Elephas maximus indicus: one gene and its partner. The protein of the gene in region 1 purifies or fractionates together with the protein of each later gene. This does not show direct contact. Links are inferred from orthologs where the notes say so. Each region holds a gene or a part of one and is shown in the gene's direction. Other genes may lie near its edges.

What was found. Proteins that work in one complex are often made in the same cells at the same time.
Region 2: the proteins of PKN3 (region 1) and ARHGAP26 purify together in Homo sapiens (affinity purification with mass spectrometry; 3 studies listed by BioGRID and IntAct, with this or other methods). This does not show direct contact. The link is inferred for Elephas maximus indicus from reciprocal best matches to the Homo sapiens genes PKN3 and ARHGAP26.

What each region holds. Positions count from the first base shown.
Region 1 is NC_064827.1:79,680,246-79,687,718, forward strand, and holds the start of PKN3 (serine/threonine-protein kinase N3), read left to right. Parts: upstream 1-4,404; 5' UTR 4,405-5,515; coding exon 5,516-5,530; intron 5,531-7,473.
Region 2 is NC_064820.1:156,212,860-156,220,337, forward strand, and holds the start of ARHGAP26 (rho GTPase-activating protein 26), read left to right. Parts: upstream 1-4,383; 5' UTR 4,384-4,775; coding exon 4,776-4,929; intron 4,930-4,935; exon of another isoform or gene 4,936-7,478. UniProt on the Homo sapiens protein: GTPase-activating protein for RHOA and CDC42. Facilitates mitochondrial quality control by promoting Parkin-mediated recruitment of autophagosomes to damaged mitochondria.

The sequences.
Region 1 (7,473 bases):
TACACTGTGTCTATGTGAATATGGACAGTTAGCATTTACCAACATGTATCTGTCTACTTTCTCTTGTTTAAAAAAAGAAGAAAAAAACTTAAAAAAAAAAAAAATGGGGTTATAGAAGGTCAGCAAAGGGTGGGTTTGAGATGTTTGGGTGGGTTAAGTGGGCATTTTGACAACATGGCTTCTCCTTTGGCATGTTTAATTGTGATGTTTAACGGACATCCTTGCAGTTTAAGATGACACTTTTAAAATAAAATTCTCTCCTAATGATGACTTGAGCCCTGCCACTTGATGGGAGAATCAGCAGAACCTGTAGGATCTTAATTTGGAATTGACATTCTCTATTGTAATTTTGTTCCTGTTTATTTTTAAATTTTCTTTTTGTTTTCACTGGAAAGGAAAGATGCTCAGTTTTAAACGTTAAAAGTGTACAAGTTGCTTTGTTACAATAAAACTAAATGTGTACACAAAGGATTTGATGCTTTTCTCTCAGAACAGATATACTTAAGACCTCCAAGTTTGACTTGTTTAACATATCGTTGTCAAACTGTGTCACCTTAACTCCATATTTTTTGATACGCACTTTGCAGGATGACCTCAGGGCTATGTGGACTGAGTAAAGGGATTTGAATCAATATATTAAAGGCTCCATAGCTGGGAAACGTTGGATACAATTTGTCATCGGTTTCTGAAAATATTCACATTGGGGATACTAGATTACGCAAAATTCAGTATGTGTACCCTTGATTTTTATCTCAAGTGGCAATTTAAAAAAAATGGGCCCTTATTTACTTGGATGTAATAACTATAATAGTGCCTGCCACCGCCATCAGGTCTGGTGCTCTAATGCCGAGTCACACACAGGGCAGTTGCTGGCATGTCTTCATTGGCACTGTGACATGTGCCTAAGAAGACAGGCGCTCAGTATGTCTGTGTTGGTGAGAAACTCAGGTTAGGAGTACTTTTCTTTGTCTTCAAGTACCAGCTCTCCAACCTAAAGCTATCTCAGATGAGACTCATCTATGTGAATCTGGGTGAGGTGACGGACTTTGCTCGGTCTGTTAAATGCCATTGTGCACATAGTAACATTTTGAGAAGCTACCTAATGCATAAGCTTTTTTAATGCTGTAAAATATGTAGCTAAATCAACGCCACTTAACGTTTTCAGAGATGAATCAGTGGCCAGCCTGGTCAAATTCAAAACTTTTGATGTATAAAACTTTATAAATGGAACTATTCCATCAAGAGGCAAAGTGTAACAAAACTTGTTTAGATGGATAGTATGTAATTTCTCTGCACAGGACTCTATGTTTAGTAAATACATCACTGTACTGGTCAGGAATCTTGCTCCAATAAAGGAACATAAAGATTTTTTTTTGACTGGGGTCATTCGCCTTGTTTTGTAGAGAAACTTGCTTTTGGATTTAGATGGTGGTAAGCTATTCAGTTTTTTGGTTGCTCGTTTCATCCTTGCGGGGGGGGGAGGTGTGGGAAAACTTCAAATAGATAAATTTATGTGCAAAGGTTTGAGCTGGTGAATACAGAAATTGTGGACAAATTACTGTTATTTAGGTGAGTAAACCGGAAATTGAATATTTCAAATATTCCTCCATATTTAAAGGACTTCCACTAGGAAAAATAATCTGCTGAATTAATACCCACTGAAGTGAGCTTGTGAGTCTGTTTCACAAAGTTACCATTGACCACAACCGGGAGTTTTCTGTCCTGGTTAATATTGTGGGGTAGTTAGGTTATGTGTCACATTGAAGCATATTTCATATCTTTGGGGTCTGAAAAAGTGGGAGCCCTCTAAGGTAATGGTTTGCCCCTGTTAATCCGGAAGCCCTGGTGGTGCTGTGGTTTACAGTTTGGCTGCTAACCAAAAGGTCAGCAGTCTGACTCCATCAGCCACTCCTTGCAAACCCGGTGGGGCAGTTGTACTCTCCTGTAGGCTTGCTATGAGTTGGATCCAACTCTAGACTCCCTTTGTGTCTGCAAATCTTGTAAAAGTTCTAGGTTGTGAGGGAGCAAAGAGACAGGACAACCTCTTGAAAAATCACTGCGGAATAGTATACTTTCTCACCAACTGCCAGAGGAGTTCTTGGGCCAAACTTCGGGCAAGTGTGTATTGGGAAAGGTTGGATGAGTAACTCAAAGCCCCTTTGCTATAAGGACATTTAGAAAAGAAAAAGTCAAATAGTGGCTATTCAGGCTATTCAGGAAAGGGCATGATCCTCTAAAGCTGTGCTGTACTTGAGAATTTAATAACTGCATGAATTGGGAAGGCAGAGGACAGCAACTCCTAATGTGTTCTTATTTAGTTCAAAAACCTTAAATGTCCTTTTCCAGGCTATTCTGGCAGTTGTTGAGGTTGCTGCTGCTTCAATGATGTCCTGATTTCAAATAAGACATTTAATTGGATTCCCCTACCTCCATTGGAGCCTTGTTGATACACTGGCCAAGAGCTCAGCTGCTAACCAAAAAGTCAGCAGTTTGGATCCAGCAACCAGTCCTTGGAAACCCTATGGGGGCAGTTCTGCTCTGTTTTATAGGGTTGCTAGGAGTTGGAGTCAACTCATTTGGTTTTTGGTTATCTCCATAAGATGCCAGCACCCTCTATATTTCACCCAACTCTTTTAAATGGTCCACAGAGTACCTGGATTTCTTTGGCTGACAAGTTTGCTTTACATCTGGCTAGCTAAAACATACGAGTTTTTTATTCTGAGTAATTGTTTTTTAATTCATCTGGTAACCTCTCTCAATTACTGTTTCATAATGCATATACCTCAATTTATGGTTTCGCTTGGTCACAGAAACATGTTTTTCTGCTGTTAGATTTTGCTATGAACCTTTCCTGGCCTTTGCAAATACAGAATTCTTTTACGAAGGATGAAAACTTCAGGATTTCCTGAAGGCTGGGACAAGTTCTTCAGGAGATGAGTGAATAGCCACTCCATTTGTTTATATGGAGAACAACATTTTGGCATTTGAAAAGTCTAATCCCCTTCCCCCCCAGCAGGGACCATTCCTTTTTTAATATATGGCTGTGCTTGTGAAGGCATACAAATTTAGTTTTTAACAGGTCTGAGGAAAAGGACTGCCTTTTTGTGATTAGAACACTCAGATTCTACCCAAGGAAGGCAAATCTAACATAGACAGACTGATGTTTGCAATACTAAGAAAAAAAAAAATGTGTAGGGGAAGAGGGAAAATGTTACCTTATTTAAGTAGCCTGCTAGGAAGTTGTAGATTCCTTTCAGATTGACTGTATAGTCTTTGAACAGCCAATTCGTTAGAGTTGGTTTGCACTATTCACTATCCACTAGATGCTGAGCACAAGCTTCAGTTTTCCTAAGAATTAACAATCCCATGAATTATCACCATCAGACAGGAGATACAGTTCTTTGGTCATTCTTCATCCATCAGCCCAGGACTGGAGACTGTTGAAGCTTGGCTTTTGCCCCGCCTGCGTGCATTAGAAAGTGAGGGGTGAATGGATGCTGTTAGTTCTGAACTCCTTTCCCTTAAGTGACATATGAGGCAGTGAAAGATTTCACAGGAAAACCATCTTGAGTTCCCCCACATAATTCAGCTTCCTGGCTGCAGGGAGTGGATAAATGATCCTCGAGTTGGGAAACACCCTCCCATGGAGAGTTGAATCAGGTAATCCATTTGGCTTGCAGAAGCGACATTCTCCATCCAGTCAAATACGTTTATTTTTAAACGTTAATTAGCGTTGTGCTGGTTGGCTTGATTGATTGCACTATTGGATAATTCCTTGAAAGGAGGAGGATTGCTAGTTTGATTCAAGGATTTCTCTTGAACCTATGAGCTGCTATCAAAAGCGGAACCCCTTTTTATTTATGAATTACGTATGGATAAGCATTAGCATTCAGCTCAGGACAACCTGATTCCCCATTTTAAAGAGTCTGCTGGGTACAGACGGCAACTAACAACAACTACGTACCGAGGGGCCTTTCCCCACCCAGCTCCGCCTCTCTTAAGTGCGCTGCCGGCAATGCTAAGGAGCCAGGGCCGGGGAAATGGTTCTTTCTGCGCCTTCTGTTCCGGGCCGGGGGTCACCGAACAGAGCTGGAACTGCGGCCTAAGGAGAGGGTCCGTGGGGTCCAAAATGCCCCACCGGGGAGGTACTGGGCCCTCCGATTTCAGGAGCAGGATCTAGGGCGCTGATCAGACGCGGCCGAGAGGCGGCGCTAATCCCAAGGTCTCGGAAAGGCCAGCGGATCTCGGGAGGGGGCGCCCGATCCCGCTTCTCCAACGCCGCTTCCCGGGAAGTTTCAAGTTTGAAAGTCCTGGTAGAGGAGCCAGGGCTTCCGGAACCGGAGTAGTCGAGAGGAGGGGCCCGAGCGGCACCATGGAGGAGGGGGCGCCGCGGCAGGTGAACTGCATCCGGAGAGGGCGGGCCCCGGGCGGGGGCCGAGGGGGTGAGGGGAAAGCTTCCGCCGCGCCCCGAGTCCCGTCCTCTCCATCCGCGACCCCCACCCTTCCCCGCATCCCTTCCCAGTCCCAGTCCCTGTCCCGGGCCCCGCTACGTCTTCTCAAAGAAGATCTGCGCACTGGGGTTATTCCCTAAATCAGCCACGAGGTGACTCAGAGCAGCCTCTAGTCAGGCCAGCCCATGAGCACGTCTGAATCGTCAATCAGAGCCACCTGGACAGGCCCCAGAGTTTCCTAAAATCGGTTCTTCCAGGCGGGACACCAGGGGCAGTGGGAATTAGCCGGGAAAGCAAAGGGGGTTCGTGTGGGCACTTGGGAAGGGACCCTGGGCGTGAAGAGGCTGTGTGCGCGTAAAAAGGGGTCCCAGAAGGGGGCCAGTCTGCACACCTGCGGGGTCTTTCCCCGAGCTCACGAGGCGCGCGGGGAATGTACACGAGGGGAAGGTCCTAGCACAGCGCCGGGGCGGAACCTCCAGGCACACAGAGTTCCAGCCCAGAACGCCGCGGCCGGCGGGGTTCCAGCCCAAAGTTGGCAGTCGGCGCGAGTGGGCACAGGGGGCCAAGCCTGTGTATGCGTCTGTTACTGGGGAGGGGGAGGTGCCCTAGCCCAACGCAAACGTGTGTATACAAGATAGGGCCCCAGCAGAACAGACAGGACCATGGGGTATGTCCAGGGGTGAGGTGTCCTAAGCAGAGATTACTTGAGCTCCCCCTACCCCAAACGCTTAGAGAGCCTTCAAGCCTGCGTCCACCCCCTCTCCCACCCTCTTCCTCCGGAGGTCCGTCTGCTCCTTTCAGCGGTGGCTTGTACACATTTTCCTATTTCCTTCAAGCCTCCGCCCAGCAGCAGCAGGGTGACTCAGGACCCTGGTGGCCGGGCCCCTAGCTCCATGGGATCTTTGTTTGCTCAGGCCTTTGGCTCTGGCTCTCTCGCCTAGGGCGGTCAAAGGATTTCCTGAGCCTCGCCCCTGCCCTCCCCAGCTAGGCCCAGCGGGCCTAGGGCAGACCTGGGGTGGGGACCCTGAGACTGGGGTGCCTACCCCTTCTACGGTGCTCAGGAGATGGAGAGGCGAAAGGTAAGGTGGAGGGTATAGGGGGCCCTGCAAGAGTTGGGGTGGGCATCAGCAGTTACTCTGCGCTGAGGTCAGCTTTGGCACCAGTCAGTTTGAAATGGCCTCTGGGAAGGAGGTTTTCCTCTTCCTTGCTCCAGCCTGGAGTGAGGTAGTGAGGGCTTCCTCCTTTCCCCAGGAACCGATCTGGGAGTGGGCCCTCTATAAAAATGGCATGGGGGGTGGGCACCTGACCGCCTCTCACTTCAGGAGGGGGAGAGAAAATCACGATCACATCAGCCCAAAGCTGAATCCAATGAGGTGGAGGTCAGACGTACCTCCTCTCTTCAACCTTTTTACCAAATCTAAAACCAGCCATCTCTCCCTCGGTACTCTCTGCTTCTCTGTTGGGTTTGATAATTCCTTGCAATGGCCATACAACTCACAGACCATACTCACAGTTAAGGAGTTTATTAGGGAAGTTCAAAAAATAAATAAATAATATAAACCCACTGCTGTTGAGTCAATTCTGACTCAGAGTGGCCCCACAGGACAGAATAGAACTGCGCCATAGGGTTTCTAAGGCCATAAAACTTTACAGAAGCAGACTGCCACATCTTTCTCCAGAGGAGCAGCAGGTGGGTTCGAACCATTGACCTTTCAGGTAGCAGCTGAGCACTTTAACCACTGCACCACCAGGGCTCCTTATTAGGGAAGTAACAGGTTACAATTCAGGATCAGGAACAACTCAGGACACAGTTCTTCCATCAGGACAGCCTCTTCTCAGCTGTGCCCGCAGGCAGGCCTCTCTCTGGCCCTTGGTCCCTCAGCCTCTCAGCCCAGCCTCTGTCTGCTTGGGCAAGTGTTACAAAGCTCTTTAGCTCTGCCAGTAAGTGCCCAGGGACCCCCCACTCCACAAGGAAGCCTCCTGCCTGAAGGCTCTCAGGTCTCTTGCTCAGTGGATCCCTAGGTCAGCACACCCACTGTAACAGCCTTGCTCCTTGGGCCGGGAGACCCACTGCTCTGTCTCTTGTTGGTCTGCTCTCCTTTCCCTGTCATCCCAACTCACTGTCTTATGCCATCTCCAGTGTTACGGCTTTCTCTCTCTGTCTCCTGGGTATAGAAGGTTCTCAACACAGGGACCCCGAGTCTGAAGGATGCACTCCACTTGAACCTTTTCTTCTTGGTGGTGGTGAAGTCTCCCCTGTCCACCTATAGGATGGCTCATTTTAAGCCTAGCGGGATGGCAAAATTGACCAATCCCCTTGTTAGGGTTCCATATACCTTATTTGCATGGTCCCACCCTCACAAGGGTGCCATGCACCTTATCTGCATTATTAACAAGCTATCCAACCCCCTTGGTGGGCCACAAGTACCTCATTTGCATAGTCCCACCCTATCATTTGGCAGGAGTTAAAAGGCCATGTAAAAGTGATCCATTGTACTGTACTCTTTGCCACCTGTGGTATTGGAGCATCAGGGGAACAAGCCCTGACCTCTCATTCAGGCCTCTGATTGCCTTCTCCAAGTAGCTCGGCACAACCCTTCTCAGCAGTGAACCTCTTTTTTCATCTACCCTGGCTCCCAAATATAGAGAAAGCATCCTGATTAAGGGTAGCTGACAGGGAGAGGCTGTGGCCCAAGAGATGGTGACATCTTCTCTGGGTTGTGACCTTATAGACTACTTAACCTTTCTGTGTCTCAGTTTCCTCATCTGTAAAATGGGGATAATGGCACCCACCTCATGGGGTTAGTATGATGATTAAGGAGTTAGTATATGTAAAGCTCTAGAACAGAACCTGGCACCAAGCAAGCACCATTTCGAAGTGTCAGCTATTTTTCTCCCTCTCTTTTCTTTTTCTGAATGGCAGAGGGCAGCAGAGTGAGCTGGATAAGTGGCCTTTCAGGTACCATCTCACATAGGTGCACTGAACTCTAAGGTCAGAGAAGTTTCTCAAACCTGTATCTGT
Region 2 (7,478 bases), on another chromosome or scaffold:
TTCCCCACAGTGATGGCACTGTTTTACATTAGCACCAGCAATGGATGAGGATTCCAGTTTCTCCACATCCTCACCAACACTTGTTATTTTCTATTTTTCTAATAATAGCCATCTTAGTGGATGTGAAATAATGGTTTTATGATTTGCATTTCCCTTAATGACTAGGGGGAGTCCCTGGGTGGTGCAAAGGGTGAATATGCTTGGCTGATAACTGAAAGGTTGGAGATTAGAGTCCACCCAGAGGCATCTTGAAAGAAAGGCCTGAAGATCTACTTCTGAAAAAGGCCATTGCAAATTCTATGGAGCATAGTTCTACTCTGATACACATGGGGCCATCACCTTGAGTAGGAATCAACATGACAGCAGTGGATAATGAGGTTGAACATTTTTCATGTGCTTTATTGGCCATTTGTATTTGTTCTTTGGAGAAATATCTATTCAAGTTTTTTGCCCATTTTAAAATTGGGTTGTCTTTTTTGTTGTTAGGTTGTAACCCAAAACACCCAGTGCCGTTGAGTCGATTCCGACTCATAGCGACCGTATAGGACAGAGTAGAACTGCCCCATAGAGTTTCCAAGGAGCGCCTGGAGGATTTGAACTGCCACCCTGGTTTCTTCATACATTCTGGATATTAAACTCTTATCAGATATGTGGTTCCCAAATATTTTCTCCCATTCTTCAGGCTGTCTCTTCACTTTGTTGATAAATTCCTTCGATGCACAAAAGTTTTTAGTTTTGATGAAGTCATATTTATTTATTTTGGTTTTTGCTACTTGTGCTTTTGATATCATAACTGTGAATCCAATGTCAAAAACAAGGTCTTAAGGCTTTATCCCTATGTTTTCTTCTAAGAGTTTTTTTTGTTTGTTTGTTTCAGTTCTTATATTTAGGTCCGTGATCCATTTTGAGTTAATTTTTGTATGAGGTGTGAAGTATGGGCCCAAATTCATTCCTTTGCTTGTGGAGATACAGATGTCCCAGAACCATATGTTGAAAAGACTATTCTTTCCCCATTGAATGGACTTGACACCTTTGTTGAAAACCGATGGCTATAGATGTATGGTTTTTATTCTGGACTCTTTTTGCATTTGTCGATACATCTAGTCTTATACCAGTACCACACTGTTTTGATCACTGTAGCTTTACAGTACATTTTGAAATCCAGTAAAGTGTGAGTCCTCCTACTTTGTTCTTCCTTTTTAAGATTGTTTTGGCTCTTTGGGGCCCTTTGCAATTCCATATGATTTGAGCATCAGCTTTTCCAATTCTGCAAAAAAGGCTGTTGGAATTTGGGTGGCGATTGCATTGAATCTGGAGATCACTTTGGGGGATATCGATACCTTAACAATATTAATTCTACTAATTTATGAAAATGGGATGTCTTTCCATTTATTTAGGTCTTCTTCAATTTCCTCCAGCAATGTTTTATAGTATACAAGTCTTTCGTCTCCTTGGTTAAATTTATTGCTAGATATTTTATTCTTTTAGACACTATTGTAAATGGAATTATTTTCTTAATTTCCTTTTCAGCTTGTTCATTGCTAGTTTATATAAATGATTTTTGTGTGTTGATTTCTTACCCTGCAACTTCGCTGAATTCATTTATTAGCTCTAGTAGCTTTCGTGTGGATTCTTTGGGATTTTCTATATATAGGATCATATTGTTTGCAAATATAGTTCTACTTCTTCCTTTTTAATTTAGATGCCTTTTATTTATTTATTTTCTTGTCCTACTGCTCTGGCTAGAACTTCCATTACAATGTAAATAGTAATGGGTTAAAATGGCCATCCTTGCCATTTTTCTGATCTTAAGGGGGAAGCTTTTGGTCTTTCACCATTTAATATGATGTTCAATTGGCTTTTTCAATAATGGCCTTTATCATGTTTACAATTTTCCCTCCTATTCCTAGTTTGCTGAGTGTTTTTATCACACGAGTGTGTTGGATTTTGTTAAATGCTGTTTTTGCATTGATTAAGATGATCGTGTGGTTCTTTTCCTTTGTTCTATTAATGTGGAGTATTAAATTGCTTGATTTTCTTATGTTGAACTGCTTTTGCATTCCTGGGATGAATCCCGCCTGGTCATGGTGTATAAGCCTTTTAACATGTTGTTGGGTTTGGCTTGCTAGTATTTTGTTGAGGATTCTAGCATCTATTTCATAAGGAATATTGGTCTGTAGTTTTCTTTTCTTGTGGTGTCTTTATCTGGCTTTGGTACCAGGGTAATGCTGGCCTCATACAATGAGTTAGGAAGTCTTCCCTCCTCGTCTATTTTTTTTTTTTGGAAGAGTTTCAAAAGGATTGGTGTTAATTCTTAAATGTTTGGTAGCATTCACAAATGAAGCCATCTGGTCCGGGGCTTTTCTGTGTTGGGAGGTTTTAAGCCTTAAGTTTTGGTGTGCTTTTTAAATGCATCAATATGTAACTAGAAAGCCTACCTATTTTGTTGTCATGATATAGCATCAGATATGATAGATACAGACCCTACTTTCATGGAGTTTCCATTCCAGATCTATCTCCTTCTTGGCAAGTCAGGAACAACTATTTTCAGAGTTATAACTATCTATGAGATGGCTGTTTGGCTGTGCTGTTAAGCCTAGATTCGTAGATGTCATTGTTAGGTATCATCAAGTTGATTCTGACTCATAGAGATCCTTTGTGACAGGGCCAAACTTCCCCACATGGTTTTCTTGGGTGTAATCTTTATGGAAGCAGATTGTTGGGAGCACATCGCCAGGTCTTTCTCCTGTGGGGTCACTGGATAGGTTTGAGCCATCAACCTTTTGGTTAGCAGCCTAGTGCTTAACTGTTTGTGCCACCAGGACTCCTTCCATTTGTAGGTACAACTGGCAAATAGAGCTTATTCATTTATTAATTTATGCATTTAATCAATCAGTCAACTTCTCAACTTGGAGGGGATGCCTTCTCTGACCCCTCCATGGTGGGAAGCAACAAGTCCTTTCCCTATTCTAACCCTTGTTGCTGAGCATTGTTATTGCTAGTTTGATTGTGTCTCCACCGATGACTAGCTGCAGTCAAGTTCTTTCTATGTTATTCATCTTTGTATCCCGAGCATCTAGCCTAGTGCCTGCACATAGCAGGCCTATTTAAAAAAGAACGAAACCAAACCAAACACACTTAATTGAAGGAGAACTGCTAATTCCTAGACATACAAGTAATTTTTCCAAAGACAGTATCTATCTTCCGGGCAGCCGTGGTGGCGTAGTCGTTAAGAGCTTGGCTGCTAACCAAAAGGTCGGCAGTTCAAATCCACCAGCTGCTCCCTGGAAACCCTATGGGGCAGTTTTACTCAGTCCTATAGGGTCATTATGAGTCGGAATCCACTCGACGGCACCTAACAACAACAATCTTTCAGGAGCTCACAATTCAGCACAAAACGCTGTGTAGGACCCAGTCTGACAAGCTGTCTGAACTGAGTCCTGTGGCCCAACAGAGTCCAACGCATTGGAGATGGCAGGTGGAAAGGGGCACGGGAAAGGATTCATTCATTTATGCCACAACGTACCATACGGTAAGCGCTAAAATATCTCTTATCAAATGCGAGCCACTGTTCCAGGTATTAGGTATATACCAGGAAACAAGAAAGTTGTGGTGGCCGTGCCTTGGTGAAGCTCACGATGTAGCGAAGGACGACAGGTAGCAGACCTACTTAAAACAGTATGTAAAATTGTGCTAGGTGCCGAGAAGGAAAATAACAGGCGGCAGAAATTATCTTAAGGATGTTAGACTCTTAGGTCCGGGCAGCCGTGGGCAGGTTTTGAGCAGGAGCGGCCATGAGGGGGCGGACTCTGGGGGGCGGGAAGACCGCAGACAAGAGTCGCTGGTAATTTTAAGATGTAAATATTTTCCGCCCGACTTGAAGAAGGAGCGTATGCCTAGGGGCGACGTGGTCGCTCAGTGTGCTTGGTGTTCTCCCGGGGCGCACTGGGCTGCATTTTGAGCGCAAGCTCGGTTGCCCAGCAGTGTTGGGCGGGCTGCGGGGAACTGCAGCCCAATCTCCCAGATTTTTTACGTTCGGCACATCTAGATTCTTCCGCCCCCAGAACAGCAGACGCACCATCCGGGCTCGGATCCGGGCCGCAGCAGCGGACAAGGTCTAGCGTGCCTGGAGTCCTTGCACAGCAGCGCTCACCCCCGGGTCTTGGGGTCTGCAACAGCCGGCGGGCGGGAGGGGGCGGAGCTTACTCTGCGGACCTAGGCGGTGGCGTGGGACCCGTCCCTCGACCTAGGCCCCGCCTCCAGACCACAATGATTGGTTCAAGCCCGCGGAAGGGACGGGCGGCCCCGAGCTGCCGGGGGGTCGGGCTGGAGCGGGGGCGCTGATTGGTTCAGCAGGGATTAGGTCATCGCTAGCAGGTTCGAGCGGCCCGGACGCCGGCGGGGCGGCAGAGGCTGCTGTGAGAGGGCGCTCGAGGCTTCTTGAGCAGGAGCAAGCTAAGGAGGCGGGGAGGCGGTGTCCGCACTCGCTCGCCTGCTCGCTCGCTTCCAGGCGCCGCTTCGGGTTCGCTGCTGCTCTCCCTTTTCGCCCACCGCTTAGTGGCGCGCCCCGCAGCAGCCGCCCTTCGACCAGATCCAGGCTCATTTCGGGAGTCTTGCGCGCCCGCCGACACCGCGCGGAGAGCGAGCAGGCGCCACACCTGTGGAGCCGGCGACCGTCGGGGGTGCGGGCCGAACTCCCGCCGCGTGCGTGCTCGGGGCGACAGTCCGCCGGGGCCCCGGGGGAGGCGCGCCCCCGGCTGGGAGCCGCGGGCATCATGGGGCTCCCCGCTCTGGAGTTCAGCGACTGCTGCCTCGACAGCCCGCACTTCCGTGAGACTCTCAGGTCACACGAAGAGGAGCTGGACAAGACCAACAAATTTATCAAGGAGCTCATCAAGGACGGGAAGTCACTCATCAGCGCGCTCAACAGTGAGTGCCCCCGAGCCTGGCGGGGACGGCTGTGCCGGGGCGGGAGGGGTCGTCGGGCGGTGCTCAGTCCTTGTCGCCCGCGCGCCTCCGGGTTTTTTCACCCAGCTGCACTGAGTGACGGGTGTAGATGCTCATAACGAGGCAGGAAGGACACATAAAATGGGCGAGCCAGCAACAATCAGATGAGGAAGGAGACCCGTCGCCCAGCCGTTTGCGTTCTGGGTTGACAGGGAGGTGACCCGAGCACGAGTGGTGCTCTTGGGCGCCGCGGGTGGGTGTGGGCGGCATTCAGGTGTCCCGCAAGTGGGGCAGTAGTGCCTGGCCCGCCGCAGCCTGTCGGGAAGCCTCATCGCGTTCACTGCTCTGGCTCCCTTATGGGAAGAGTTATCACCCCTGGGTGCCTAGCCGTAGGGCTGGAGCGTGCTCTGCCGAGAAGGCGACGCCTCCCCTCGGGAAAAGGCAGGTGTGACTATTTCGATCCCGGTATGCAGCTCCCAGATTGGCGGTTCGAACCCACCACCCGCTGAGCGGGAGAAAGATGTGTCAGTCTGCTTCCATAAAGATTTACAGCCTTGGAAACCCTATGGGGCAGTTCTACTCAGTCCTATAGGGTCGCTGTGAGTGGAATTTGACTTCAGGGAAGTGGGTGGGATGCAGCGCTAGCCTGCTCAAGGCCGCCGGCTTCTCCGAAAGGCAGAGGGCTGCCTACGGAGGGGCTGGGTGAAATGGTTGGTTAGCCCGCGATTCTTTAGAGTATTGGCAGCAGGTCGCCCCCAAATCCAGCATCAGTGCCATTTACGTGTGCAGGTTCTGAATTTTGTGTTTAGCAGAAGGTGATTGGGGTGGGAGTAGAGAATCAGAGTGTTCCTTTACTCTAAACTGTGGGCGAGGGTTTAAAAATAGAATGAACATACCCTGACTCCCTCTCTCGTTCCCTCGTTCTCCTTTTTACCTCTCCCATTATGCTTGAAAACTCAAATGTTGGAGAAGAAATGTCCTCTGTCCGCACCCAGAAAGAAGTTTAAATTCATCTTAAAGATTCTCTAACCTTTCGTAAAACTGCCTTTTTGCTTTCTTTCTTTGTGGTAGGGAAGAAATGAAATTTAAATCCTGTATATGGTTTTCCCTTGACTTGCACAGATGCCAGGGAGTTTCTCCTGGCCAAAGAGAGAGTGGTGCTCTAGGGAATCAGCGCCTTGGATTATGAGAGTGTTTTTGGTTCCTTTTCAGTCTAACCATTTTAAAAATAGTTCAATCCATATTATAATTTCCAGAATTAGAAATAATACGAAGGCAGATAGTGGAATTGTCTTTGACTCTTTTACTTTCCTGTCTCTGATGGATTTCTTAATAGGTGGTATATTTCAACTATGAAAGTTTGCATTGGTAGAGTGGGGTCCAAGCTGTGAGAATTGCATGCAGGCCTCCTTAAAGGAGTGCCTGAGGTGTCATTTTGTGAGCCTGTTGCTTCTAAAAATGGAGACAGAGACGATGGAATCCCAGGGCAGCAAGTGCCAATCTTTTGGGGTGAAATGAGTATAAAACTAATGGGAGTAATGAGGCATCTTAGAGGCAGGGTCTCTGCTGGGATCTGTGCCTTACCTGAAGCATATGAATAGACTCTTCTTTTGTCAGTGACCAGGGACTCCCTTGACTCAGGGAACACTGGACCCCTGGTTTGGAGCCAGTTAGGGGCTCACTTAGGGGTTGGGCCCAGGAATTTTGATTGAACTCTGAGGCTGCCTTGAATTTGGACCCCTGATCATTCAGCAAAGTTTGGAGTGACTGGGGTGTGCTGGGTAATTGCGCTGGACACTGAGGATGTCGCAGTGAACATTCTGTTGCCACCATGGCTGCGGAGGTTTACTCCATGCTGGACGCGGCTTCACCTAGGAGTTACCTCATACAAATGAGAAAACTGAGGCTTGAGGATACACTAGCCCAGAGTCACACAGCTCTAGTGGCTGGGCTTAGTTTAGTACTCAATGGTCTCAGCCAGAGATGAAGTTAATACTCTTGCAGAACTCTTGAGCCTGTTCCATCCCATTTGCCCTGAATGGAACTCTCTGGACCAGACCTGCTAGAATTTGGACTTGTGTTTTATACTTCAGCCTTGAATCTGGGGAGATTGCATTTGGGTGACTGGCAATTTGCCCAACTACTTTTTTTTTTTTTTAAGAGTGCTTTGGGTAGGAAGAAATATTTCAGTGATGGGGTTCGAGGGCTATTTCAGTTGTCTAATTGACCAGCCCTATAACTTGTGAGGAAGACTGATTGGGAACTAGGTGTAAAAAAAAAAAAAAAAGTACTGGTCTCTAAATCTAGCTCTACCACTAAATGTGACCTTGAACAGGTCATGTGACCTTTTAGAGCTTTGGTTTTCTCATCTTTAAAATAGAGTGGAGCTGTTTCCCAGACTTCAGGCATTCACTTATCAACTAGATACTGCTGTGTTGTATACTGCAGTTTTGGTATTTACGTATTTATTGAAATTATCTTTACCACTACTGTAAATGTAAAACCAGTGTTTTTTTCCAGGACACCTTAAA